Anolis sagrei: one gene and its partners. The protein of the gene in region 1 interacts with the protein of each later gene in a pairwise test. Links are inferred from orthologs where the notes say so. Each region holds a gene or a part of one and is shown in the gene's direction. Other genes may lie near its edges.

Region 1 (7,209 bases):
AATAATAATAATAATAATAACAACAACAACAACAGAACCACAGAATGCTAGAGTTGGAAGGGACCCCAAGGTGCAAATAATAATAATAATAATAATAATAACAACAACAACAACAGAACCACAGAATGCTAGAGTTGGAAGGGACCCCAAGGTGCAAATAATAATAATAATAATAATAATAACAACAACAACAACAACAGAACCACAGAATGCTAGAGTTGGAAGGGACCCCAAGGTGCAAATAATAATAATAATAATAATAATAATAACAACAACAACAACAACAGAACCACAGAATGCTAGAGTTGGAAGGGACCCCAAGGTGCAAATAATAATAATAATAATAATAACAACAACAACAACAACAACAGAACCACAGAATGCTAGAGTTGGAAGGGGCCCCAAGGTGCAAATAATAATAATAATAATAATAATAATAATAATAATAACAACAACAACAACAACAACAACAACAACAGAACCACAGAATGCTGGAGTTGGAAGGGACCCCAAGGTGCAAATAATAATAAGGTATATCATCTGATCCCTCCCAGCAGATGTCCATCCAGCCTGTGTTTCAAGGCTTCCATAGAACGCTAGAGTTGAAAGGGGCCCCAAGGTGCATCTAGGACCTCATCACACTAGAGTGTCTATCCACTTTCTGGTTGCTCCCTCCTGTAGAATTCTGGGGTTTGTAGTTTAGGGAGGGGCCTTTAAACTACAGCGCCAGAGAGGTCCTGGGCCTCCCTAAACTACAAACCCCAGAATGCTGCAGGAGGGAGCAACTGGATGCTCTAGTGTGATGAGGTACCAATAATAATGATGATAATAATAATAGAACCACAGAATGCTTGAGTAATAAGGAACCCCCACGGTGCATCTAATAATAATGATGATGATGATGATGATGATGATAATAGAACGATAGAATGCTAGAGTAATAAGGGACCCCACAGTGCATCTAATAATAATAATAATAATAATAATAATAATAATAATAATAATAGAACCATAGAATGCTAGAGTTTTAAGGGACCCCACGGTGCATCTAATAATGATGATGATGATGATGATGATGATGATAATAATAATAATAATAATAATAATAATAGAACCATAGAATGCTTGAGTAATAAGGGATCCCCACAGTGCATCTAGTAATAATGATAATAATAATAATAATAATAATAATAATAATAATAATAACACTAGAACCATAGAATGCTAGAGTTTTAAGGGATCCCACGGTGCATCTAATAATAATGATGATGATAATAATAATAATAATAATAATAATAGAACCATAGAATGCTTGAGCAATAAGGGACCCCCACAGTGCATCTAATAATAATGATAATAATAATAATAATGATGATAATGATAATAATAGAACCACAGAATCCTAGAGTTGGAAGGGACCCCAAGATGCATCTAATAATAAGGTGCATCATTTGATCCCTCCCAACAGATGCCCATCCATCCTGTGTTGAAGACCTCCATAGAATCCCAGATTTGGAAGGGACCCCAAAGGGGGATCTGGTCCAACCCCATTCTGTCTGGCAGGAAGACCCCATCCAATCCCTCTTTACAGAGGGCCATTCAGCCAAAGCCAAATGGCCATAGATATCATATAGTTAGATAAGATGCTAGATATATAATTGAATCCTAGAGTTGAAAGAGACCCTCATCCGATCCCTTTTTACAGAGGGCCATTCAGCCAAAGCCAGATTGCCGTAGATCTCATATAGAAGAGGGATAAGATGCTAGATACATAATTGAATCCTAGAGTTGAAAGAGACCCTCAAGGGCCACCCAGTCCAACTGCTAGGAATACACCACTCGATTCATCCTGACAGAGGGCTGTCCACATCTGTGACAACAACAACAACAACAACCACAACATTCTGCTTTGAGTCTTTTTTAAGAGAGGAAACAAGGATATAATTCATAATTAATGATGATAATAATAACAATAATGTTTCCCCGCAGGGCTCCATCTGTTCGGACTGGGTGGTGATGTCCTGCTGCCCGCTCTGCGGACTCTGCCAGCTCTCCAGGGAACTCAACAACAAGAACTGAGGACGCGAAGCCGGAATCCGAACACAGGACCACATTCCCACCACACAAACAGGAGTCTTAATAAATAAAATGTATACCTTGGTATAGATAATTTCCCCGACCTGTGCCTCTTTTTTGTTTCATTGGGGGAAGATTTGAGATGAATGTGGAGCTGGTGGGGCCAAACGATGACTCCCATGGTTCCTGTAAGAAATCCACATATAAAATGAGTTAACTTGGGGGTCCCTTTAACACATATAGTGCTACGATTTCACATCCTATGGAATCCTGGGACTTCTATTTATTTATTTATTTATTTATTTATTTAACTGGATTTTTTTAGTGCTGTATGTGTTTAATTCTATTTTAATGTTTGTGTTTTTGTATATTTTAATGTATACTAAGATCTTTATATCAAGCCACTTTGAGTTCTAGAAATAATAATAGTAATAATAATAATAATAATAAGCCAGTCAAGGTGGTCCCAGTGGTGATCGGCACACTGGGCGCAGCGCCTCGAGACCTTGGCCTGCACTAAAACACAATCGGCGTTGACAAGATTACCACCTGCCAGCTGCAGAAGGCCACCTTACTGGGATCTGCACACATTATTCGGCGATACATCACACAGTCCTAGAAACTTGGGAAGGGTCCGATGTGTGATCCAAGACAACAGCCAGCGGAGCGTCTGCTGTGGACTCATGTTGTGGTGTTTCTAATAATAATAATAATAATAATAATGGAAATGAAATATACAAATACCAATAATAATAATAATAATAATGTAGGAAAATGAAATATATCAATATAATAATAATGTCAATATAACGGTAATAAAGTAGGAAATGAAATATACCAATAATAATAATAATGTAGGAAAATGAAATATGCCAATAATAATATTAGTAGTAGTAATGTAGGGAAATGAACTGTATCAATAATAATAATAATAATAATAATGTAGGAAAATGAAATATATCAATAATAATAATAATGTAGTAAAATGAAATATATAATTAATAATAATAATAGTAATGTAGGGAAATGAAATATATCAATGCTAATAATAATGCCAATATAACAGTAATAATGTTGGAAAATGAAATATACCAATAATAATAATAACAATGTAGGAAAATGAAATATACTAATATAATACCACTAATATTGTAAGAATATGAAAATAATAATAATAATAATAATAATAATAATGATATAGGAAAATGAAATATCCCAGTAATAATAATAATAATGTAGGAAAATGAAATATATTAATATAAGACTACTAATACTGTAAGAATATGAAAATAATAATAATAATAATGAGATAGGAAAATGAAATATGCCAATAATAATATTAGTAGTAGTAATGTAGGGAAATTAACTGTATCAATAATAATATTAATAATAATAATGTAGGAAAATGAAATATATCAATAATAATAACAATAATGTAAGAAAATGAAGTATATAATTAATAATAATAATAGTAATGTAGGGAAATGAAATATATCAATGCTAATAATAATGTCAATATAACAGTAATAATGTAGGAAAATGAAATATACCAATAATAATAATAATGTCAATATAACAGTAATAATGTTGGAAAATGAAATATACCAATAATAATAATAACAATGTAGGAAAATGAAATATACTAATATAATACCACTAATATTGTAAGAATATGAAAATAATAATAATAATAATAATGATATAGGAAAATGAAATATCCCAGTAATAATAATAATAATAATGTAGGAAAATGAAATATATTAATATAAGACTACTAATATTGTAAGAATATGAAAATAATAATAATGATGATATAGGAAAATGAAATATGCCCATAATAATAATAATAATAACAGGAAGAAGGAATAAAATATTCCAAGAGAAAGAGAGAAGAAGAAAAAGGAAAATAAATAGGGAAAAGATAAATAAGGAAATTAGTTCCTAAAGGAGCAAATATTCCATTGCCTAAAGGGAAACAACACAACTCTAGGCCAGAGAGGCTTCTGTGGCTGAGGAGAAAGCCAGGCCTGCTGGGAGTGGTAGTCCGCGCCGCTCTGGAGCCAGGCCTGCGTCTTCCTTGGCGAGGGAGGCGCGAGACTACACTTCCCGGCAGGCTCCGCGGCCAGGGGAGGCGGTGTCACTTTAGCCCCGCCCCCTCCGGGTTGCCACGCAGGCTTGGCGCCGCCGGACGGACCGAGGAGAAAGCAGGTGAGCGCTCCCTCGCGAGGAGGGGGGAGGCGGTTGCTAGGGGCAACCAGAGCATCCTGGAGGGCCACGACTAGGCCCGAAGCCCTTGGTTTCCTGTTGTGGGGACCCGCCTTGGGGCCCCATCTTCTGGGCGAAGGCAGGCAGGGGCTTTTTGGGAGGAGGGGGTCTCTCTCCAGGAAAACCTCCCCTGCAAGGTAGGCCCCAAAAGCCTTGCCCCTATAGCTCTGTCTGTACATTGTACATGCCATAGAGATCTAGCTATAGAGATATACATACACACAGGTACATTGCATGCCCCAGGCATCTCTCTCTCTCTCACTATCTCCCTCTTGTCCTTGTTCCTGTCTGTATGTCCATTGAATGACCCCAACCATATATATATATACGCACACACATATACATATACACATGTACATTGAATGCCCCAGACCTACACACACACACATATGCACACACACATATATATTGAATATATAGTTACACACACATATATGGATAAACATACATATATATAGGTAGATATATATACACACACACATTGATATACATACATGTACATTGAATACCCCAGACCTACACACCCTCACACACATATGCACACACACATATATATTGAATATATACTTACACACACATATACGGATAAACATACATATATATAGGTAGATATATACACACACACACATTGATATACATACATGTACATTGAATACCCCAGACCTACACACCCTCACACACATATGCACACACACACATATATATTGAATATATAGTTACACACACATATACAGATAAACGTACATATATATAGGTAGATATATACACACACATATTGATATACATACACACATGTACATTGAATGCCCCAGATCTATACACATACACATGTATGCACATACACATATATATTGAATATAGACATACTTACTACTGTTGCGGTTAGGTGATCCCTCGTTTTCCGAGGAGGATTGTCTTCCAGTGTTCTTGTGGGTCCGTATGTGGCTGTGGAGCCCTATTCTTGACCCGCATCTTCTCCCTCAGTGAGGGCATTGGTTTCCAGGTGGAAGGCGGTCTCGGTCGGGGTTGGCTTGACACGCCTTCCTCCTGGCACGTTTCTCTCTTTCACTCTCCATTTGTGCCTCTTCAAATTCTGCAGCACTGCTGGTCACAGCCGATCTCCAGCTGGAGCGCTCAAGGGCCAGGGCTTCCCAGTTCTCAGTGTCTATGCCAGAGGTTTGTAGGTTGGCTTTGAGCCCATCTTTCAATCTCTTTTCCTGTCCTCCAACATTCCGTTTTCCGTTCTTGAATTCGGAGTAGAGTAACTGCTTTGGGAGATGGTGGTTGGGCATCCAGACAACGTGGCTGGTCCAGTGGAGTTGATGGCGGAGGACTATCGCTTCAATGCTGGTGGTCTTTGCTTCTTCTTCCAGCATGTTGACATTTCCCTGCCTGTCTTCCCAGGAGATTTGCAGGATTTTCCGAAGGCAGCGGTGATGGAATCGTTCCAGGAGTTGCATGTGACATCTGTAGACAGTCCATGTTTTGCAGGCGTAAAGCAGGGTTTGGAGGACAATAGCTTTATCAACAAGCACCTTGGTATCCCTACGGATGTCTCAGAAAAATGCTGCACTTAGAAAAATGCTGCACTTGCAGAGTTCAGGCGGTGTTGTATTTCTGTGTCGATGTTGACTTTGGTGGAGAGGTGGCTGCCAAGGGAGCGGAAATGGTCCACATTTTCTAATGAAACTGTATCTCTGGCATTGGGGAGGGGGTGGCTGGTGACTGCTGGAACAGCACTTTGGTTTTCTCGATGTTCAGTGACAGGCCGAGCTTCTCGTATGCTTCTGCAAAGGTGTTTAGTTAGAGTGGCTTGTAGATCTTCTTCTGAATGCGCACATACGACGTTGTCATCAGCATACTGGAGACATACTTACACATATGTGTAGATAAACATATATATAGGTAGATATATTCACATGTAAGATGGCTTTTAAGCAACCTTTAATGTGAATATAAGTGATTTTAATTTTTGTATATATTTATGGTTTTATGTCCTGGCATTGAATGTTTGCCGTATATATGTTGTGCTCTGCCCTGAGTCCCCTAAGTTGAGGTGTAAAGGGCAGAATATAAATGTTTTAAATATATATTGCACATACACATATATTGATATATACACACATATATAGGTAAATATGCACACACATTAACATAACTCAAAAACCACTGGATGAATGGACACCAAATTTGGACACAATACACTTATCAGGCCAACGAGCGACCATCACTCAGAAAAACACTGAAAAACACAACAGAAGGGACTTAAAAAGCAAAAAACAATACATTACAATGCATCCGCAGAACCACATATACACGGATATACAAACACATATATACAGACTGGGCCACAGCAACATGTGGCAGGGGATGGCTAGTATATAAAATAAATACTAACTTTACTCTCTTTTTGTCCTACAGACGGGATCAGAATGGCGAGCAAAACCAGTCCGGAGCATCTCTTCAATCCGGCCACGGAGATGGAGACGGCCGGGACAGTGCTGGGCACCAAGTAAGGGTCAAGGAATATTATGACATGATGCATCCATCCTTCCACATACCATCATTTGGGGGAAAGGATGCTTTTAGGCCCAGAAATCATTTATGGGGCACTTCCTGCACCTGTTGATAGATAGATAAAAAGATAGATAGATAGATAGATAGATAGATAGATAGATACCCTGTTTCCCCAAAAATAAGACAGCGTATTATATTAATTTCAGCTCCCAAAGATGCACTACGTCAGTGTTTCTCAACCTGGGGGTCGGGATCCCTGAGGGGGTCATGAGGGGGTGTCAGAGGGGTCGCCAAAGACCATCAGAAAACACAATATTTTCTGGTGGGCATCGGGATTCTGTGTGGGAAGTT
Region 2 (7,871 bases), on another chromosome or scaffold:
ATGTTTTATCATCCTTGTGGGAGGCTTCTCTCATGTCCCCACATGAGGAGCTGGAGCTGACAGAGAGAGCTCATCCGCACTCTCCCCGGATTCGAACCTGCGACCTGTCGGTCTTCAGTCCTGCTGGCACAGGGGTTTAACCCACTGCACTCCCGGGAGCTCCTATGCCTCCCCCTGACTGGCTGAGAAACCTTGCCGAATAGGATCCACACAGGGATTTTTTTTTGTCGTGTCAGGAGCAACCTGAGAAACTGCAAGTCACTTCTGGTGTGAGAGAATTGGCCGTCTGCAAGGACGTTGCTCAGGGGACGCCCGGATGATTTGACACAGGGATTGGCCAGGGGTTTCCCTGATGTCACTGACAGGAGGAGGAGATCCCCATGGCAGCAAGAAGAACAACAACTGATGTTTGGTCACTTTAAAGGTCCAGTTTGTTGCAGAGACACCCGCTGGAAGGGCACAAAACTGAGGGAAGGGATGACATAAGTATTCAGATGATTCTTTGATCTTGATTGACTTAAGTGTCCAGTTCCAGAGAGACAAAGGTGCAAGACCCACAGGACAAAAGATGATAATCCCAAATAACAAGAGGCTGGGCTGCCTATTCAGAAGATTAATGTATTCATATTTGTTTAGCTTTCACTTCCATGAGAATGGCAGCCTCCATCCTCATTTGAACAGGAAAACATCCTAAGCATATCTTTGTAGCAAAAGGATCAGATCATCTGTCTCACATACATACACAAAGGATTTTATCTGGCTTGGGAGATCCTTGTTTTATATAGCAATTTCCGTTCCCAGGAGCTTATGCAAACAGGGGGCATTGGGGCAGCAGATACCTTCAGGCTACATTTGATACAAGTTTATACATTTAGATATTGATACAGTACATAAGCAATACAAGTTACACAGAGAGTAGCATTTTTATACATTCATTAAGGCAGGGGTCCTCAAACTTTTTAAACAGAGGGCCAGGTCACAGTCCCCCAAACTGTTGGAGGGCTGGATTATAATTTGAAAAAAACATGAATGAATTCCTATGCACACTGCACATATCTTATTTGTAGTGCAAAAGACACTTTAAAAGAATATAATAATTAAAATGAAGGACAATTTTAACAAATATAAAGTTATTAGTATTTCAATGGGAAGTGTGGGTCTGCTTTTGGCTGATGAAATAGGATTGTTATATTTGTTGTTGTTGTGTGCTTTCAAGTCTTTTCAAACTTAGGTTGACCCTGAGCGAGGGCCAGGTAAATGACCTTGGAGGGCCGCATCCGGCCCCCGGGCCTTAGTTTGAGGACCCCTGCATTAAGGGGTTAAGCTTTGATAGAGTTTGGGACACAGTTCTAGCTAGATCCTCTGCGGCTTCAATATCGCAAATCTCTGAATGGGTGGGAAATGTTTTAAAATTAAAGAAAAAATCATATTTCTTGCTTGGGGTCTTTTTATTGTTCATAACCTTTTGGAGGGGGTGTGCCATGGCTTGACAACATCATCATGGGAAAAAGGTGTCTCAACAGAAGTTTTATTACCAATCCTGTTTCCGCAAAAAAACATTTTTTCCAAAATCTGAATAGGGGCACAGACAGCAAAACAAATGCCACAGGGGTTTTAACCTTTCCCTATGCTGTCCAAAGCTTATATATGGGGGGAGGGGTAGATGGAGATACGCTTAAAAATGTTTCTGTTCTAATTAAACATACAAATTCAACTTCATAACAAACCTACAAAGTGACAGACTTTGTATTTCTAGGTGCAAAGATTACTGCAGATGCAGACTGTAGCCAGGAAATCAGAAGACGCTTACTTCTTGGGAGGAGAGCAATGTCCAGTCTCGATAAAATAGTAAAGAGTAGAGACATCAGACTGGCAACAAAGATCCGCCTAGTCAAAGCCATGGTCTTCCCTGTAGTAACCTATGGATGTGAGAGCTGGACCTTAGGGAAGGCTGAGCGAAGGAAGATCGATGCTTTTGAGCTGTGGTGCTGGAGGAAAGTGCTGAGAGTGCCTTGGACTGCGAGAAGATCCAACCAGTCCATCCTCCAGGAAATAAAGCCTGACTGCTCATTGGAGGGAAGGATACTAGAGACAAAGTTGAAGTACTTTGGCCACATCATGAGGAGACAGGAAAGCCTAGAGAGGACAATTATGCTGGGGAAAGTGGAAGGCAAAAGGAAGAGGGGCCGACCAAGGGCAAGATGGATTGATGGCATCCTTGAAGTGACTGGACTGACCTTGAAGGAGCTGGGGGTGGTGACGGCCGACAGGGAGCTCTGGCGTGGGCTGGTCCATGAGGTCACGAAGAGTCGGAGATGACTGAACGAATGAACAACAACAACAACAAACCTACAGAATCTTGTTTGTAACTTGAGGACTGCCTGTATACTCTAAAATAGTGTGTTTCTAAATAGACAGCTACCTGTTTCTCAAGGAATACCTTGCACGCAGTTAGGAAGAAGATATTGAAACAACCAGCCTCACCATCTGTGCAGACAAGGAATTCAAATCAGAGCCACCTGAAGAGTTTCTGCAAAAAAACCAGAAAAAATAGCTATAATGAGTGGAAATGTGGCTTTGCATGCTAAAAGCAATATTGCTCTAGTAGTAAAGGCATGGAGGAACCACTTGGATGAGAATGATTGTACTATTTTTGTTTTTAGCAGAGTGACCAGACTGAATCCCACAGTTGAGAAAGATTAGCATATTTATTATGACATGAAAAGCAATCCAAAATGTTAAAGCTATAATGCATCTGTCAGTTTCTAAGGTGCCAAAAGCTCTGTTTTTCCTGCAACAAGTCAATTAAAACTGAATTTAACATTAGCATGGTTTTTAAAAACCCGGAAGAATTGGCATTATTTTAAAAGGGCAGAGGCATGTACTATTTGCAAGGTTAAAGAGTTCTTATCCAAAATGATTGGGACCAGAAGAGTTTTGGATTTCAGAATATCTGCATGTACAGAAGTAGATAATGAGATATCTTGGAGACAGGACCTAAGTATATACACCTTATACATAAAGTCTAGATCCACTATGCTAAAAAAAGTTCAAATAGGAGTATTTGAACTGTCAGGGGTACTTTGATTGTGCTTTTCATGCATTGATAGTTATGTACATGTGTATTCTGAATACATGAAGTTGTGAATAAACCAAGTATGTTATTTTTAACTAACTCTACTTCATTTTTGTCTAGAGTGCATGATATTAATCACTGAGCCTGGAATCCCAGGTTGCAGCGGTGGCCAGGGGAGTGTTCACACAATTAAAACTTGTGCGCCAGCTGCACCTGTACCTTGGGAAGTCAGACTTGGCCACAGTGGTCCACGCTCTCGTTACATCTAGGATAGACTACTGCAACGCACTCTACATGGGGTTGCCTTTGAAGACTGCTCGGAAACTTCAAATAGTCCAATGAGAGGCAGCCAGGTTAATAACTGAGGCGGCATACAGGGAGCATACAACTCCCATGTTATGCCCAAATTACCCGGCCCAAATTACCTGTCCGAACGCATCTCCCCCTATGAACCATCACGGAGATTAAGATCCTCTGGGGAGTCCCTGCTTTCCGTCCCGCCATTGTCACAGGCACGATTGGTGGAGACGAGAGACAGGGCCTTCTCGGTGATTGTTCCCCGGCTATGGAACTCCCTTCCTGGTGAGATCAGGTCGGCCCCCTCTCTCCTGTCCTTTAGAAGGATGGTAAAAACTTGACTCTGGGACCAAGCTTTCGGGACAGGGCAATAAAGCGGCAATAGGAAAGATGACCAGGCCAATGATTTGATGCGGATGACTAGGACGGTTTTAAATGGTGTATTTTAATATTTTGATAAATGTTTTTAATGTTTATGTATGTGTCCCAGCATTGAATGTTTGCCGTATATATGCTGTTCTCCGCCCTGAGTCCCCTTTGAGGTGAGAAGGGCGGAAAATAAATGTTTTAAATCAATAAATAAAACGAGTTTTTTATGGGAGAGAAAAAATATTTTTGGACACTAAAAAAACTTCTGAAGCACTGCTGTTTTTTATGCACTGGAAAAATCTGTTTTCCTAACAGATCAGAGATAACAGGTTATTCAGTCTAACAACTGAAACCATTGCCTTGCATTATTATATCTGGTTGCATACCACAAGAGAAGGGTCTCCTCTAAAGGGTTTTTGGCTCTACTCTGAAAGGTCTAAAAAGATCTAAAAAGTTATGATCTCCAAATGGTTATGAATGCCATTTTCTCCTTCTACTGGGAGGAGGCTGATAGGCATGAAGTAACTGGTTCAAAACACATAATGAATTCAACTGAAATACATTTTAAAACACACAACCCCCCCCCCTCCACACACACACACATACACACAAAATCTCACTCAAAACGACCATGGAAAGGTTTTACTCCTGCAAAGAGATCAGGGGTGCGCCTCTACTCTGTGGAATGAATGCTTTTTGATCCCATGGCTCGCTGCTCATGGGAGTTGTAGTTTTACAAGGTCTTGCGCCTTCTCCACCCAAGAGTACTGGATGCCACGCCAAACTGCAGCTCCCAGGCCTGCATAGCATTGAGAAGAGGCGGTTCCAGTGGGACCAAACGGCACCCATTGCACTACAGCGGGGCCTGCTTCCCAGGAAGCGCCTGGCCCAATGGGGCGCTTACTTACCTTCTTCCCGCCAAAAGGCCCCTTTCCTCTTGCTTGTTGTCGTCCTCCTACTTCCTGGTGAGGCCCCGCCCCCGCTGCCACCCGCTAGGCCACGCCCCCTTCCTCTCTCCAGCAGAAGAGGGCCGCCTTGCATTCAAAACGTGCTCCAGCTGGAAGCCCTCCCAGTCTATCCCAGGCTGGAAGAGAGGTGAGAGGGCCATTCAGAGACAACCCCCCCCCCCCAATACCAGGAAGGAAGGGATTTTAAATGAAGGAGGGAGGAAATTGGGAAGGGAAGTTGCTGGGATGGATCTACACTGAGGAATGAATGCAGTTTGACCACACATTTATGCCCTGGCTCAGTGCTATGGGATCAGGCAGTACATTTTCAGATCTGCTCATCTGTCAAGGATTAGGGTTGTTGTAGGTTTTTTTCGGGCTATATGGCCATGGTCTAGAGGCATTCTCTCCTGCCGTTTCGCCTGCATCTATGGCAAGCATCCTCAGAGGTAGTGAGGTCTGTTGGAACTAGGAAAAAGGGGTTTATATATCTGTGGAATGACCAGGGTGAGACAAAGGACTCTTGTCTGCTGGAGCTAGGTGTGAATGTTTCAACTGATCACCTTCATTAGCATTTGAAGGCCTGCCTGAGCCTGGGAAAATCTCTTGCTGGGAGGTGTTAATCTGTGCCTGGTTGTTTCCTCTCTGTTGTTTTGCTGTTGTAATTTTAGAGTTTTTTTAATACTGGTAGCCATATTTTATTCATTTTCATGGTCTCCTCCTTTCTGTTGAAATTGTCCCCATGCTTGTGGATTTCAATGGCTTCTCTGTGTAGTCTGACATGGTGGTTGTTGGTGTGGTCCAGCATTTCTGTGTTCTCAAAGCACCTGATGAACCAGCCTGGACACAGCATATTATTTGAGAACACAGAAATGCTGGACCACACCAACAACCACCATGTCAGACTACACAGAGGTTCAATTCCATTATTGCTGGAGTTCAGAATGCTCTTTGATTGTAGGTGAACTACAAATACCAGCAACTACAACTCCCAAATGACAAAATCATTTTTTTGAGTCATGGTCACTCCATGGGTTAGTAGGTGTCTTGTAGCCAAATTTGGCAGCAATTCGTCCAGTGGTTGTTGAGTTATGTTAATCCTACAAACGAACATTATATTTTTATTTATATAGATGTATTTGTGAAATATCCAGTTTTTTGTAGGGCCCTTCCAGACAGGCCCTATATCCCATAGTTTGATCCCAAGTTTTCTGTTTATCCCTGATTTCTGATTATCTGGTAGTGCAGACTCATATAATCCAGTGTAAAGTAGAAAACCTGGGATCAGATCCTGGGATATAGGGCCTGTCTAGGAGGGCCCTAAGAATGTACTATTTATCCTAGTATTTCTAATTGTATCGTTGCCTTTGGCGTTCTTTAGGCACCTGCATGCAGTTCTCCTACCTGAAGCCAACTCCGCAGCGCCTCTTGAGTGTCCGGTCCTGGATTGATGTGCCTTTGAGAGCCTTCATGGATCTTAAGGTCCTGGTTTCTTCCCTCAATGGGTTTGCTCCGCTGTCGCTGGCTGAGAGTTGGGACAATGTGGGGCTCCTGGTTGAACCAAGCCCTCCCCATACCGTCAGCACCCTCTTTTTGACCAACGACTTGACCGAGGAAGTGATGGAGGAGGCCCTCCAGAAGAAAGCCAATCTTATTCTGTCTTACCACCCACCCATTTTTCAGCCACTCAAACGCCTAACGTGGAAAACGTGGAAAGAGCGTCTCATTATCCAAGCCCTGGAAAACAGAGTTGCCATTTATTCTCCCCATACAGCCTACGATGCTGTGCCCCATGGAGTCAACAACTGGCTTGCCAAAGGACTTGGTGAGACATCCCTTTTCTGAATTTTTCAAGAATTGGCAATGATGTCTGTTGTCTTTTAAAAACATTTACATTGTAATTTTACTCTCAATGCTACTGTTTTCTGTTGCTGAAAGCTGACATGTCAGCACCAAGCTCACGTCACGCAAATAGTGGCTTACTTATAGATGGTTGTGTCAAGTTATGTGTGGAGGGGAAGCTGAGAGTAGCAAACCAATTACATGGTTTAAACAATGGCATATATGAAAAGGTAAGTTCACACCATTCTTTGAAGCATAATGAAGATTAGGTGATTGACTTGTGTGTCCTCCCATGGTAGGCAAAATTCCCTCTCTTTGACTGACAGTCCTCATCATGACAAGCTGTTTTGACATCATCCTTCACTACAGTTAACGCTACACATGTTTCCTTATGGTAAGCCACTTTGAGTCTCCTTGTGGAGAGAGAAAGCGGGGTATAAATAAACATTGTAATAATAATGATAATATTTATTTATTTATTTTTGTCATGTCAGGAGCGACTTGAGAAACTGCAAGTCGCTTCTGGTGTGAGAGAATTGGCCGTCTGCAAGGACATTGCCCAGGGGACGCCCGGATGATTTTTGATGTTTTATCATCCTTGTGGGAGGCTTCTCTCATGTCCCCGCATGAGGAGCTGGAGCTGATAGAGGGAGCTCATCTGCTTCTCCCCGGATTCGAACCTGCGACCTGTCGGTCTTCAATCCAGCCGGCACAGGGGGTTTAACCCTCTACGCCACCAGGGGCTCAATAATAATAATAATAATAATAATAATAATAATAATATACAAAGACTCTGGCACATGCCAGTAAAGGTGGTCCCAGTGGTGATTGCACTTAAAAACAGTGGTGATCTGCACTTAAAAACAATTGACGCTGACAAAATTGCCTTGTCAGCTGCAAAAGGCCAAAACTCGGACCTGCATGCATTATTTGCCGATACGTCACACAGTCCTAGACACTTGGGAAGTGTCCAACGTGTGACAAAAGCCAGCATAGTGATCTTGTTTGCTGCATACTAATCTTGTGTATTTATCTATCTATCTATCTATTATTATTATTATTGACACAAAAGCACAGTATGTCACAGCAAACGAGATCTATATGCTGGATTTCGTTTTACAAAATCACAAGTCGAACACTTCCCAAGCGTCTAGGACTGTATTATTATTATTATTATTATTATTATTATTATTATTATTATGCTAGAATTTTAAAACCAATTATCAACTTGATTGAAAGCATAACTCTGGCTAACATTAACCAGAGTTTAGGTGAGTGCTAGAAGTATATCCCAGCCATGGTTAGGGGCAGAGAACAGGAGCTGGAAATCGGAGAGATTT
Region 3 (6,990 bases), on another chromosome or scaffold:
TATAGCATGTGCCTTGACTGGAAAGTTGCTTTAAACTGATTCTGTTTGTGTTGGTGTGAAAGTACTTCTTACCAAAATAGGTTTTTTTTTCATATTTTCTTATTAAACTACATTATCTAAGCCAGTGATTTACTACAGACACTTTTTAAATATCTTTTGATGTAGCAGACTGGCAAAACTTAACTCAAGATTTAAAACCTCAAAGCCTATCAAATATTTATTTAAGGTTGCTCATCAAGGGGCTTCATATTTGAAGTAAGGGAGAAATAATAATAATAATTATTATTATTATTATTATTGGGAAGTGTCCAACATGTGACCCAATACAATAGCCAGCAGAGTGATCTTGTCCGCTGTGGATTATCTTGTTGTGTTTCAAATAATAATAATCATCATCATCATTATTTATACCCCGCCACCATCTCCCCGAAGGGGACTTGGGGTAGCTAACGTGAGGTCAAGCCCAAAGATACAATACAGCAAAATAAAGTGCAAAATACAACACCAAACATTACATCACAATAAAGTACATACAGTGGCAAAATAAAATAAACAAAGCAAAATAGCATAATAGAAAATTGAACACAATGGGCAGGCCAAATGGACAAGATAAAATGATAAAATGGCTGTTTTAGACATTTATGCAAATCTGTTGTTCAGGGTTTACAGTAGACTCTGCAGAAGATGCTTCAGTTGTACTTCATAAAAAGGAAAATTAGTCTGTTTAAAAAGCCTTGCAAATGCTGATTTGTTATCAGTAAATATATGGGTTTTATACCCATATAAATTTTATCAGGTCAAGAAGGGTCCTGAGTGGAAATTTTTAACGAGCACTGCTCTAGAGGACATGGCATTCTCACCATGTTTTGGGACCTTCCTGAACCCCTCAAGGGCATTGTGGGTCATTATTAGCAAAATAATCTTTTTCGGGGCCGCTGGAGGTGCAGTGGCTTAAACCAGTGAGCTGTTGAACTTGCTAACTGAAAGGTTGGCAGTTTGAATCTGGGAAGCGGGGTGAGCTCCCGCTGTTAGCCCCAGCTTCTGCCAACCTAGCTGTTTGAAAACATCAAATGTGAGTAGATCAATTGGTACCACTTCAACAGGAAGGTAACTGTGCTCTATGCAGTCGTGCCGGCCACATGACCTTGGAGGCATCTACGGACAATGGCAGCTCTTCAGCTTAGAAATGGAGATGAGCAGCATCCCCCAGAGTCAGACTCAACTAGACTTAATGTCAGGGGAAACCTTTACCGTTACTGATCTTTTTTGAGAAGTTTTTCAAAAATATGTTTGGAGCCCTGGTGGCTTTAGGGGGCACAAAAACAGCTCTGGGAAGCACATACAGCTCACAGCCATGCTTTGCCTACCCATCAGATATCACTGTGTAACACAATTTTTGTTTCTGGGTTATAATTTTCATTTCCTAATTCGTTCTATCATAAAAACATGGTAAAAGTTTATTAAAATGCAAAAAAAAAAGTTTTTGTGGGACATCTTGCAGCACACTTTGCTATAGTTTTATTTAACAAATATCTCATAGACTCTCAACCAATTCAACATAGTTTGTGGCAGCCACAAAAACAAAATACAACAACTACTTTCAAAGTAAGTACCACACAATTAAACAGGAAAGAACATTTTCAGACCAAGAACAGAATTTATTTCAGATTTTGTTACCTAATGAATGGCTGTGGTGGAAAAGATTTTCATTTAGGGATTATTTGTTTTTATGTGTACACTGCATCAATTCATCTTTTGTATCTTTACAGGAAAATGGATCATACTACTCTTACCCCTCTTCTCCGGACCTCTGACTATGCAGCCCTGCCATTCCATTTGGTTTCCGAACTCTCTATGACATGCTACATGCCAATCCCATATGCACCATGGTGGTCTAATTCATTTTCAGAGATCAGAAGGCGGGTAATCCTGCCTCTGTTATTTTTTTACAAGGAGGAATTTGGAAGAATATAAGCAATCAGTAAACTAAATCCAAATGAACTGTTTCAGATGTATCACGTAGAAAAGTTGCTAGGTGTATATGACAACAATTTTTGTATTGCACAAACTGCTTTCTCGAAAGACCCATTGGACATACTTTAATCTGACTGTGAGCGTTCTCTGCTCCCAGCCACTTCAGACCAGTTTGGAAGAAGATTCGGTTTCCATGCAACAGTGCTATATCAGATTTACATGTTGAATCCTTTATTATTGCTGCTACATTCAGAGGAATTCACTGTTAAAATATATACAGATTGGACAAAGAACTGTTTAAAATTCTAAAACAACTATAAATGTCAGCTTTGTAAATTCTCCTTAGCTTTGAATGTGGCGCTCTGCCTTTTTTTGCTGGATGATGAAAGATGCAAGAGTGCTGCTGCTTTCCTGCTAAATTGTAAAACTGAAGCAAATATCACTAATGTCTCTTGTGGTTTTTATTTCCTTTGACCTTGTTGTGATTTCTAGCTGGTATAGGGAAAACAATTAATGAAATACTGGTATTAAAATGAATTTGTTTGTATGTTCTAAAATAGGGATGGACAAAGTGCAGGCCACACACAGCCGTCGGGTTCCTCAAAAAGTGTCCCATAATCTTCAGCCCATTTTTCATTGGACTTCTTTTTACCCAACCCCAGTCAAACTCTTCCAAAACTACCAAAAATGCAGTGATCTGCTTCTCCTTATCCTCCAAATCACCAAAAACATCAAAAAAGAAAGAAAGAAAGAAAGAAAAAGAAAAGTAACCAACATAGCAGCTGAAAGTTATGTTGTATAACATCAGGTATACCAAGATATGATGCCATGGCCCACTGTGCCAGGAGAGGCAGATAAAACTATTATTATTATTATTAATTATTAATTATTATTATTATTATTTATTATTATTATTATTATTATTTGATATACAACAAGATTAGTATACAGCAAACAAGATCACTGCTGGCTGTTGTATTGGATCACACGTCAGGCACTTCCCAAGTTTCTAGAACTGTGTGATGTATCGGTGAATAATGCATGCAGATCCAAGTAGGGGAGTCTTTTCCAGCTGACAGATGGTAATTTTGTCAGAGCCGATTGTTTTCAAGTGCAGGCCAAGGTCTTTAGGCACTGCACCCAGTGTGCCGATGACCACTGGGACCACCTTGACTGGCTTGTGCCAGAGTCTTTGCAGCTCAATCTTTTAAATCCTCGTATCATGTCAGCTTTTCCAGTTGCTTCTCATCAATCCTGCTCTCACCTGGGATTGCAACATCAACGATCCATACTTTGTTTGTATTATTAATAATAATTTGGTGCAGTGGGTTGAACCCTTGTGCTGGCAGAACTGAAGATCGACAGGTCGCAGGTTCGTATTCTGGGAGAATGTGGATGAGCTCCCTCTGTCAGCTCCAGCTCCCAATGCAGGGACATGAGAGAAGCCTCCCACAAGAATGGTAAAACATCAAAACATTGGGCATTCCCTGGGCAACGTCCTTGAAGACAGCCAATTCTCTCACACCAGAAGTGACTTGCAGTTTCTCAAGTCGCTCCTGACACACAAAGAAATTGGAAAACAAATGGTTGCAGCCCTTTGTGCAGTTGCCCACTTTTATTCTTCAATTAGTCTACAATTTTACTTGCAGGGCATTAGAATTTTTACATTGTTTCAGGAACTATATAATTGCATATTCTTTCAAAGTGGAGTTGGATTACATAGTCCTTGCAGCCCCTTCCTATTTTTAAGGTTCTTGCAAAGACATTTGACATTATGGACCGTAATGGTTTGTGGACCATCTTCCTGAAAAATGGGTGCCCTGATAAATTTGTGAATATCCTGTGGCTCCTCCACGACATGATGGCAATAGTCTTGGACAGCAGCGGCTATCAAAGTGACACATTTTAGGGTCAGAATAATTCAATTCCTCTGCGTTTGAGGTGTACCATAGAAAAGAACAGGAAAGGGTTAAGGGAGAGGCAGTGGGCGGGATCATGCAAATTACACAGCGTGGTGGAGGAAAGACAGACAATCTAGGATCCCTTGGTCTTGCTAAACTCTCCTGGAGGGTGCAACTTCTGCTTTGTGAAGATACACCGGAAGTGACGACTTCGGTCAGGGCCTTCCCACTTTCTCAAGCAAACCCGGAAGTGAAGGCTTCAGGCATGGCTTTCCCACATTCTCAGGCGAGGGAGAAGGAGGCGGCAGAGGCCATGACGACGGTGGAGGTCCTTCCGGGGCTGTACGTGGGCCCTGCAGGGAAAAGCGGGAAAGCGGCGGAGAGGCCTGCGGGCGTCACGGCCCTCTTGTCTGTGGACTCGGAGCCCCCCGGGGAAGTGGGGCTGGAGGACGTGCTGCACCTGGAGGCCCTCGACCAGCCCGGCAGCGACCTGCTGAGCCGCTTGGACCAGGCCGCCGCCTTCATCGACAGGGTCCGGGGGAAGGAGAAGGGCGCCCTCCTGGTGCAGTGGTGAGGAGGGGGGGAAGCAGGTCCTGGGACAGGCGTGGGCAAACCTCGGCCCTCCAGGTGCTTTGGACTAATTCCTCCGAGGTTTGCCCACGCCTGTCCTACAATCACAGAGTTGGAAGGGAACCCCAGGGCCAACCTCTTACCATGCAGGAACACCCACACACGCACAGATGGCCATCCAGCCTCTCTGTTGTCGAAGGCTTTCATAGCCGGACCACTGGGTTGCTGTGAGGTTTCCGGGCTGTATGGCCATGTTCCAGAAGCAGTCTCTCCTGACGTTACGCCCACATCTATGGCACGCATCCTCAGAAGATGTGAGGTCTGTTGCAGATTACCTGATGAACCAACCTGGACACAGCATATCATTTGAGAACACAGAAATGTTGGACCACTCTAACAACCACTATGTCAGGCTACACAGAGAAGCCATTGAAATCCGCATCTGTGGCAGGCATCCTCAAAGGTTGTGATCTTTGTTGGAAACTAGGCAAGTGGGGTTTATATACCTGTGGAATAATGTCCAGGGTGGGACAAAGAACTCAGACCTCACAAGCTCTGAGGATGCTTGCCATAGATGCAGGCGAAACGTCACGAGAGAATGTCTCTAGAACATTCTCTTAAACAGAGGGTCAGGTCACAGTCTCTCAAACTGTTGGAGGGCCAGATTATAATTTGAAAAATAAAGAATGAAATCCTATGCACACTGCACATATCTTATTTGTACTGCAAAAAAACATTTTAAAGCAATACAATAAATAAAATGAAAAACAATTTTAACATATAAACCTATTATTATTTCAGTCAGAAGTGTGGGCATGCTCTTGGCTGATGAGATAGGGTTGTTGTTGTGTGCTTTCAAGTCATTTCAGATTTAGGTTGCCCCTAAGCGAAGGCCGAGCAAATGACCTTGGAGGGCCATATCTGGCCCCCGGGTCTTAGTTTGAGGACCCCTGCTCTAGAACATGGCCATATAGCCCAAAAAAACCTATAACAACCAACTCTTACCTGTTTGAGGCAAGTGTGAATGCTGCAATTGATCACCTTGATTAACATTGAATAACCTTGCAGCTTCAAAGCCTGGTTGCTTCCTGCAAGGGGGAATCTTTTATTGGGAGGTTTTGGCTGGCCCTGATTGATTCTTGTCTGGAATTCCCCTGATTTCTGAGTGTTGCTCTTTATTTACTGTTCTGATTTTAGAGGTTTTTTTAAATACTGGTTGCCAGATTTTGTTTATTTTCATGGTTTCCTCCTTTCTGTTGAAATTGTCCACATGCTTGTGGATTTGAATGGCTTCTCTGTGTAGTCTGACATGGTGGTTGTGAGAGTGGTCCAGCATTTCTGTGTTCTCAAATAATATGCTGTGTCCAGGTTGGTTCATCAGGTGCTCTGCTTTGGGTGACTTCTCTGGTTGAAGTAGTCTGTAGTGCCTTTCATATCCCTTGATTTGTGTTTGGGCAATGCTGCATTTGGTGGTCCCTATGTAGACTTTTCCACAGCTGCATGGTATACGATAGACTCCTGCAGAGGTGAGAGGATCCTTCTTGTCCTTTGCTGAACGTAGCATTTGTTGGACTTTCTTAGTGGGTCTTTAGATAGTTACAAACTATCAACGGAGTCTATCATAAATCAAGAAGAATTGGATTCTGAAATGGGGTAGTCAAATAAATAGGAAAATATATAGAACTGAACCATTCTCTTTCTACGATTGTTCAATTAAAATAATATTTGAATGCAGGAAAGTACTGTTCCCAGAAGGTGGGGGGAGGGGTGTAAAATTGGTAGACACAAGTAGGAGATAAAGGTAGAATCGGCAAAGTTAAGAACACTAAGAAAATAAGATTTGATATGTATTTTGAAATGGTGATGGATTGTGATGTTATTCTACCTGTGTCTGCATTAAAAACATATTGGGGGGGAAAAGTCTACCGTATGGACAAGTCTACATAGGGACCACCAAATGAAACACCCAAACACAAATCAAGGAACATGAAAGACTGAATTCAACCAGAGAAGTCAGCTATAGCAGAGCACCTGATGAACCAACCTGGACACAGCAAATTATTTGAGAAGACAGAAATGCTGGACCACTCTAACATTCACCATGTCAGACTACACAAAGAAGCCATTGACTTCTCAGGTTGAGCCATTGACTTCTCTGCAGTGCCTTTCATGTTCTTTGATTTGTGTTTGGGCAATGCTGCATTTGGTGGTCCCTATGTAGACTTGTCCACAGGTGGACTCCCGCAGAGGTGAGAGGATCCCTCTTGTCTTTTGCTGAATGTAGCTTTTGTTGGATTTTCTTAGTGGGTCTGTAGTGGTTCAGACTTGCTTTTCTTTTGTAAACATTGAATTCTGCATTTCAGTTGGGACTTAGGTATTCAAACAGGAGCTCCCGGTAGCACGGTGGGTTAAACCACTGAGCTGCTGAACTTGCTCATCAGAAGGTTGCAGATTCAAATCTGAGGAACGGCATGAGCTTCCGCTGTTAGCCCCAGCTTCTGCCAGCCAAACAGTTCAAAAACAGGAGCCCCTGGTGACGCAGTGG
Region 4 (7,764 bases), on another chromosome or scaffold:
GTAGCTACAAAGCCTGGCTGCTTCCTTGCTGGGGGAAAGTGTTAGCTGGCCCTGACTGTTTCCTGTCTGGATGCCATTAGCCACAGATGCAGGCGAAAGGTCAGTAGGTAATGCTACAAAGCACCCCTGACAGGTGGCATTGAATATATTTTTGCAGCTACAAAGCCTGGCTGCTCCCTGCCTGGGAGAAAGTGTTAGCTGGCTCTGATTGTTTCTTGTCTGGATGCCATTAGGCACAGATGCAGGCGAAAGGTCAGGAGAGAATGCTTCTGGAAGGTGGCCAGGCAGCCTGGGAATGTCGCAGCCCCCCAGCCTGAAAGTCTACGGTGATTGGGATTCCTCCAGAGGGGGAGAAGGGAGGGAAGGCCGAGCAGGGCGGGCAGGGCCTACTTTTCCCCCTTCCCTCCCCGGCCCTCCTCCCCTTGGTCTCCCCGGGAGGCCCCTTCCCTCTCCGCCGGCCCTTCCTTCCTCCCTTCCCGGCCCGCTCCCCTTCCCGGCCCCGCCAGGCCTCCCTCCCGGGCTCACTCTCTCCTCCTCAGGGCCACCCGCGCCGCCATCTTGGATCCATCCGGGCACTTGACTCCGCCCTCCCTCCTTCCCCCCGCCTCCCTTCGCTGGAGGAACATCCGGGCACTTCACTTGACTCCGCCCTCCCTCTGGAGACTCTCTGGAGCGGCGCCGCATCCTGGGACTTTTTTTCGCAGCAGGCCGGAAGTGACGACGACGGGAAAGACCGTGGCGCTACATCCGGGGATTGTTTTGCCTAGGAAGCCGGAAGTGCCGACCAGAGAGTCATAGAATCATAGAATACTAGAATCCAAGAGTTGGAAGAGACCTCCTGGGCCATCCAGTCCAACCCCATTCTGCCAAGAAGCAGGAATATTGCATTCAAAGCACCCCTGACAGATGGCCATCCAGCCTCTGGTTATAAGCCTCCAAAGAAGGAGCCTCCACCACACTCCAGTGCAGAGAGTTCCACTGCTGAACGGCTCTCAGTCATGGGCCATCATCCAGCCCAACCCCATTCTGCCAAGAAGCAGGAATGTTGCATTCAAATCACCCCTGACAGATGGCCATCCAGCCTCTGTTTAGAAGCTTCCAAAGAAGGAGCCTCCACCACACTCCCTCCGGGGCAGAGAGTTCCACTGCTGAACGGCTCTCACAGTCATGGGCCATCCTCCAGTCCAACCCCATTCTGCCAAGAAGCAGGAATGTTGCATTCAAATCACCCCTGACAGATGGCCATCCAGCCTCTGTTTAAAAGCTTCCAAAGAAGGAGCCTCCACCACGTTCCGGGGCAGAGAGTTCCACTGCTGAACGGCTCTCACAGTCATGGGCCATCCTCCAGTCCAACCCCATTCTGCCAAGAAGCAGGAAAATTGCATTCAAATCACCCCTGACAGATGGCCATCCAGCCTCTGTTTCAAAACTTCCAAAGAAGGAGCCTCCACCACACTCCGGGGCAGAGAGTTCCACTGCTGAACGGCTCTCACAGTCATGGGCCATCCTCCAGTCCAACCCCATTCTGCCAAGAAGCAGGAATGTTGCATTCAAATCACCCCTGACAGATGGCCATCCAGCCTCTGTTTAGAAGCTTCCAAAGAAGGAGCCTCCACCACACTCCCTCCGGGGCAGAGAGTTCCACTGCTGAACGGCTCTCACAGTCATGGGCCATCCTCCAGTCCAACCCCATTCTGCCAAGAAGCAGGAATGTTGCATTCAAATCACCCCTGACAGATGGCCATCCAGCCTCTGTTTAAAAGCTTCCAAAGAAGGAGCCTCCACCACGTTCCGGGGCAGAGAGTTCCACTGCTGAACGGCTCTCACAGTCATGGGCCATCCTCCAGTCCAACCCCATTCTGCCAAGAAGCAGGAAAATTGCATTCAAATCACCCCTGACAGATGGCCATCCAGCCTCTGTTTCAAAACTTCCAAAGAAGGAGCCTCCACCACACTCCGGGGCAGAGAGTTCCACTGCTGAACGGCTCTCACAGTCATGGGCCATCCTCCAGTCCAACCCCATTCTGCCAAGAAGCAGGAATATTGCATTCAAATCACCCCTGACAGATGGCCGTCCAGCCTCTGTTTCAAAGCTTCCAAAGAAGGAGCCTCCACCACACTCCGGGGCAGAGAGTTCCACTGCTGAACGGCTCTCACAGTCATGGGCCATCATCCAGTCCAACCCCATTCTGCCAAGAAGCAGGAATATTGCATTCAAATCACCCCTGACAGATGCCCATCCAGCCTCTGTTTAAAAGCTTCCAAAGAAGGAGCCTCCACCACACTCCAGGGCAGAGAGTTCCACTGCTGAACGGCTGTCACAGTCAGGAAGTTCTTCCTCATGTTCAGATGGAATCTCCTCTCTTGTAGTTTGAAGGAATTGTTCCCTTGCGTCCTAGTCTCCAAGGAAGCAGAAAACAAGCTTGGTCCCTCCTCCTCCCTGTGGCTTCCTCTCACATATTTATACATGGCTATCATGCCTCCTCTCAGCCTTCTCGTCTTCAGGCTAAACATGCCCAACTCCTTTAGCCGCTCCTCATAGGGCTTGTTCTCCACACCCTTGATCATTTTAGTCGCTCTCCTCTGGACACATTCCAATCTAGTATGGCTACAGTAAATCCAATGATTTACTAATTTCTACATCTGTAAATTGGGAAAAAAATATAATACATACCATTAGAAAATGCGTTACTTGGTTAGTAGAGAAGTAAGTTGGTCTTGCACTGATGGAAGTTGCACCACATCAGCTGTCCAAATTTATAAATGGCCCTATTTATACAGTTATGCATTTTCTAAGAGGTCTATTCTTAAAATCCAAAATCTAACAATGACTATTTTTAATATTTATCCTTACCAAACTAACCTGAGCAACATCATGGAGTTTTCATAAAAAAACAGAATGGGAGCATTCATTACAAAAAAGCAAATACTGAGTATTTTTCTAAGACGTGATTGATTGACAGTACCGCAAATAGGGGAGGGGTGATTGATTGGAGCCAACGTGATTGATTGACAGTTCTGCAACAGGGGAGGGGTCTGTGTGCCCAGTGTGGTCCTGGTCCGTCATTGGTGTGGGTCGCAGTGGTCTGTGGGAGCCAACGCGATTGATTGACAGTATTGCAAATAGGTGAGCAGTGATTGATTGGAGCCAACCTGATTGATTGACATTACTGCAAATAGGGGAGGGGTCTGTGTGCCCAGTGTGGTCCTGGTCCATCATTGGTGGGGGTCGCAGTGGTGCAAGATACTCCACTTTGGCAGGAAAAACGAAATGCAAAGATACAGAATGGGGGACAATGCCTGGCTTGAGAGCAGTACGTGTGAAAATGATCTTGGAGTCCTCGTGGACAACAAGTTAAACATGAGCCAGGAATGTGATGTGGTGGCAAAAAAAGCCAATGGGATTTTGGCCTCCATCAATAGGAGCATAGTGTCTAGATCCAGGGAAGTCATGCTCCCCATGCTCTATTCCGCTTTGGTTAGACCACTTTACCTGGAATATTGTGTCCAGTTCTGGGCACCACAATTCAAGAGAGATATTGACCCTAAGCTGGAATGTGTCCAGAGGAGAGCGACTAAAATGATCCAGGGTCTGGAGAACAAGCCCTATGAGGAGCGGCTTAAGGAGCTGGGCATGTTTAGCCTGAAGAAGAGAAGGCTGAGAGGAGATATGATAGCCATGTATAAATATGTGAGAGGAAGCCACAGGGAGGAGGAGGGAGCAAGCTTGTTTTCTGCTTCCCTGGAGACTAGGACGCAAAGGAACAATGGCTTCAAACTACAAGAGAGAAGATTCCATCTGAACATGAGGAAGAACTTCCTGACTGTGAGAGCCGTTCAGCAGTGGAACTCTCTGCCCCGGAGGGAGTGTGGTGGAGGCTCCTTCTTTGGAAGCTTTTAAGCAGAGGCTGGATGGCCATCTGTCAGGGGTGATTTGAATGCAATATTCCTGCTTCTTGGCAGAATGGGGTTGGACTGGATGGCCCATGAGGTCTCTTCCAACTCTACACCATCCAAGCTGTTCAGCAGTGGAACTCTCTGCCCCGGAGTGTGGTGGAGGCTCCTTCTTTGGAAGCTTTTAAGCAGAGGCTGGATGGCCATCTGTCAGGGGTGATTTGAATGCAATATTCCTGCTTCTTGGCAGAATGGGGTTGGACTGGATGGCCCATGAGGTCTCTTCCAACTCTACACCATCCAAGCTGTTCAGCAGTGGAACTCTCTGCCCCGGAGTGTGGTGGAGGCTCCTTCTTTGGAAGCTTTGAAACAGAGGCTGGGTGGCCATCTGTCAGGGGTGATTTGAATGCAATATTCCTGCTTCTTGGCAGAATAGGGTTGGACTGGATGGCCCAGGAGGTCTCTTCCAACTCTTTGATTCTATGATTCTATGGTTCTATGGTCTGTGGGAGCCAACGTGATTGATTGACAGTACTGCAAATATTATTATTATTAGTATTGGAAGTAATAATAATTGGGGATAAATAAATAAATAGGGGAGGGGTCTTTTTTTCTTCTTTTTTTCCCCTCTTCCAGCTCTTTTTTTCCCTCTTATTATTTACTTATTAATAAAATAATAAATTCCTAGTAAAAAATTGTCAATAGTTTCTATTTATTTATTTTTTTCTGCTTGGACCAGGTTTTGCCTTTTGTAGAGGAGCCCTTATTGACCTATTGGCGTTTGCACTTTGCAGACGCTCCCTAGCCCTGTCTCCAGCCAGGAGAGGCAGGCGCGCGCAGGCGCAGTGGAGCCCTCCCTTGGCTCCAACGGGGAGGTCCCAGATTTAAAGGGGCCGCGTCACGGAAATGTCCCGCCGGGCCAAAGAGGAGTACCAGCGTTTCTACACGGTCACCGAGCCCCGCGGCCACCCCAAGGGACACACCGAGTACAAAGTCACCGCCAAGGTGGAGAGGGGGGCCTTGAAACGCACATAGACCCCAATTAAGGGTGCCTCTGAGCATGTGCAGAGACCCTTGCATTGCAATTAAAGGCTGGCTGAAAGCAATGAATAGGGAAATGCAAATTATTATTTTTGAAAGCTTATTATCATTATTATTATTGCCTCTGAGCATGTGCAGAGTGTCCCATTGCAGAAATGATAGAGCTAGGTAAAGGGAGTGATTATTATTATTATTATTATTATTATTATTATCATTGCCTCTGAGCATGTGCAAAGTGTCCCATTGCATCAATAATAGATCTGGGTAAAGGGAGTGAATATTATTGTTGTTGTTGTTGTTGCTGCCTCTGAGCATGTGCAGAGTGTCCCATTGCAGGAATGATACATCTAGGTAAAGGGAATGATTATTATTATTGTTGTTGTTGTTGTTATTATTGCCTCTGAGCATGTGCAGAGTGTCCCATTGCAGAAATGATAGATCTGGGTAGAGGGAGTGAATATTGTTGTTGTTGTTGCCTCTGAGCATGTGCAGAGTGTCTGCTTGCATAGATCTGAGTAAAGGGAATGAATAGGGAAAAGCACATTATTATTGTTGTTGTTGCTGTTGTTGACCCAAAGCTGTTCATTATTATTGTTGTTATTACTATTACTATTATTATTGTTGTTGTTATTATCATTGCCTCTGAGCATGTGCAGAGTGTCCCATTGCAGGAATGATAGATCTGGGGAAAGGGAGTGAGTATTGTTGTTGTTGTTGTTGCCTCTGAGCACGTGCAGAGTGTCTGCTTGCATAGATCTGGGTAAAGGGAATGAACAGGGAAAAGCACATTATTATTGTTGCTGTTGTTGTTGACCCAAAGCTGCTCATTATTATTGTGGTTATTACTATTACTATTGTTGTTGTTGTTGTTGCCTCTGAGCATGTGCAGAGTGTCTGATTGCATAGATCTGGGTAAAGGGAATGAATAGGGAAAAGCACATTATTCTTGTTGTTGTTGCTGTTGTTGACCCAAAGCTGCTCATTATTATTGTGGTTATTACTATTACTATTATTATTGTTGTTGTTGTTGTTGCCTCTGAGCATGTGCAGAGTGTCTGATTGCATAGATCTGTGTAAAGGGAATGAATAGGGAAAAGCACATTATTATTGTTGTTGCTGTTGTTGTTGACCCAAAGCTGCTCATTATTATTGTGGTTATTACTATTGTTGTTGTTGTTGTTGTTGTTGCCTCTGAGTATGTGCAGAGTGTCTGATTGCATAGATCTGTGTAAAGGGAATGAATAGGGAAAAGCACATTATTATTATTGTTGTTGTTGTTGTTGACCGAAAGCTGCTCATTATTATTGTGGTTATTACTATTACTGTTGTTGTTGTTGCCTCTGAGCATGTGCAGAGTGTCTGATTGCATAGATCTGGGTAAAGGGAATGAATAGGGAAAAGCACATTATTATTGTTGTTGTTGCTGTTGTTGTTGACCCATAGCTGGTCATTATTATTGTGGTTATTACTATTACTATTGTTGTTGTTGCCTCTGAGCATGTGCAGAGTGTCGGCTTGCATAGATCTGGGTAAAGGGAATGAATAGGGAAAAGCACATTATTATTATTGTTGTTGCTGTTGTTGTTGACCCAAAGCTGCTCATTATTATTGTGGTTATTACTATTACTATTATTGTTGTTATTATTATTGCCTCTGAGCATGTGCAGAGTGTCCCATTGCAGGAATGATAGATCTGGGGAAAGGGAGTGAGTATTGTTGTTGTTGTTGTTGCCTCTGAGCACGTGCAGAGTGTCGGATTGCATAGATCTGGGTAAAGGGAATGAATAGGGAAAAGCACATTATTATTATTGTTGTTGCTGTTGTTGTTGACCCATAGCTGCTCATTATTATTGTGGTTATTACTATTACTGTTGTTGTTGTTGTTGCCTCTGAGCATGTGCAGAGTGTCTGCTTGCATCGATCTGGGTAAAGGGAATGAATAGGGAAAAGCACATTATTATTGTTGTTGTTGTTGTTGACCCAAAGCTGCTCATTATTATTGTGGTTATTACTATTACTGTTATTGTTGTTGTTGTTGTTGCCTCTGAGCATGTGCAGAGTGTCTGATTGCATAGATCTGGGTAAAGGGAATGAATAGGGAAAAGCACATTATTATTGTTGCTGTTGTTGTTGACCCAAAGCTGCTCATTATTATTGTGGTTATTACTATTACTATTGTTGTTGTTGTTGTTGTTGTTGCCTCTGAGCATGTGCAGAGTGTCTGATTGCATAAAGGATAGATATGGGTCCTATCAGATGGCTTAAGGGAATTATTAATATCAAGGGAACGACTAGTAATAGTATCTATTAGTAATAATATCGATACCAAAGGGGCTTCTCGTTATCATTATTATTGCCTCTGAGCATGTGCAGAGTCTCAGCTGTATGGGATTAAATACGCAGCAATGGGTGTGATACAGTTTGCATAAATTTTGGCGCTGTGTAGAGTGAAATAAATTGGAATAATACTAATACTACTAATAATAATTATTATTATTATTTATTTATTTAAAAATTAAATTTAAAAAGTTAAATTAATTAAATTAACAAAAATAAAATATGGGTTTGATCCAGTTTGTGCAAAACAAGGAAAGCATAAATTTTGGCGCTGTATAGAGCGAAATAAATTGGAATAAATCAAATAATAATAATTATTATAATAATAGTAATAATAATTATTATTATTATTAAATAAATTGGAATAAATCAAATAATAATAATAATAATAGTAATAATAATAATAATAATAATTAAATAAATTGGAATAAATCAAATAATAATAATAATAGTAATAATAATTATTATTATATTATAATTTTAAAAATTAAA

Evidence for each region.
Region 2: the proteins of prenylated Rab acceptor protein 1 (region 1) and NIF3L1 interact in binary tests that used the Homo sapiens proteins (3 or more experiments, as listed by UniProt). The two-hybrid records come from large-scale screens. The link is inferred for Anolis sagrei from reciprocal best matches to the Homo sapiens genes RABAC1 and NIF3L1.
Region 3: the proteins of prenylated Rab acceptor protein 1 (region 1) and DUSP12 interact in binary tests that used the Homo sapiens proteins (3 or more experiments, as listed by UniProt). The two-hybrid records come from large-scale screens. The link is inferred for Anolis sagrei from reciprocal best matches to the Homo sapiens genes RABAC1 and DUSP12.
Region 4: the proteins of prenylated Rab acceptor protein 1 (region 1) and SNX15 interact in binary tests that used the Homo sapiens proteins (3 or more experiments, as listed by UniProt). The two-hybrid records come from large-scale screens. The link is inferred for Anolis sagrei from reciprocal best matches to the Homo sapiens genes RABAC1 and SNX15.

What each region holds. Positions count from the first base shown.
Region 1 is NC_090035.1:83,784,752-83,791,960, forward strand, and holds the start of prenylated Rab acceptor protein 1, read left to right. Parts: upstream 1-4,179; 5' UTR 4,180-4,284; intron 4,285-4,421; exon of another isoform or gene 4,422-4,478; intron 4,479-6,762; 5' UTR 6,763-6,773; coding exon 6,774-6,853; intron 6,854-7,209. Other genes in the region: cornifelin homolog, read left to right, coding at 1,990-2,079. UniProt on the Homo sapiens protein: General Rab protein regulator required for vesicle formation from the Golgi complex. May control vesicle docking and fusion by mediating the action of Rab GTPases to the SNARE complexes.
Region 2 is NC_090021.1:176,902,624-176,910,494, forward strand, and holds the start of NIF3L1 (NIF3-like protein 1), read left to right. Parts: upstream 1-4,731; 5' UTR 4,732-4,837; intron 4,838-6,070; 5' UTR 6,071-6,078; coding exon 6,079-6,514; intron 6,515-7,871. Other genes in the region: PPIL3 (peptidyl-prolyl cis-trans isomerase-like 3), read right to left, coding at 2,485-2,487. UniProt on the Homo sapiens protein: May function as a transcriptional corepressor through its interaction with COPS2, negatively regulating the expression of genes involved in neuronal differentiation.
Region 3 is NC_090022.1:199,090,931-199,097,920, forward strand, and holds the start of DUSP12 (dual specificity protein phosphatase 12), read left to right. Parts: upstream 1-3,942; 5' UTR 3,943-3,969; coding exon 3,970-4,445; intron 4,446-6,990. Other genes in the region: GDAP2 (ganglioside-induced differentiation-associated protein 2), read left to right, coding at 1,770-1,814. UniProt on the Homo sapiens protein: Dual specificity phosphatase; can dephosphorylate both phosphotyrosine and phosphoserine or phosphothreonine residues. Can dephosphorylate glucokinase (in vitro).
Region 4 is NC_090032.1:21,597,155-21,604,918, reverse strand, and holds the start of SNX15 (sorting nexin-15), read left to right. Parts: upstream 1-4,732; 5' UTR 4,733-4,800; coding exon 4,801-4,899; intron 4,900-7,764. UniProt on the Homo sapiens protein: May be involved in several stages of intracellular trafficking. Overexpression of SNX15 disrupts the normal trafficking of proteins from the plasma membrane to recycling endosomes or the TGN.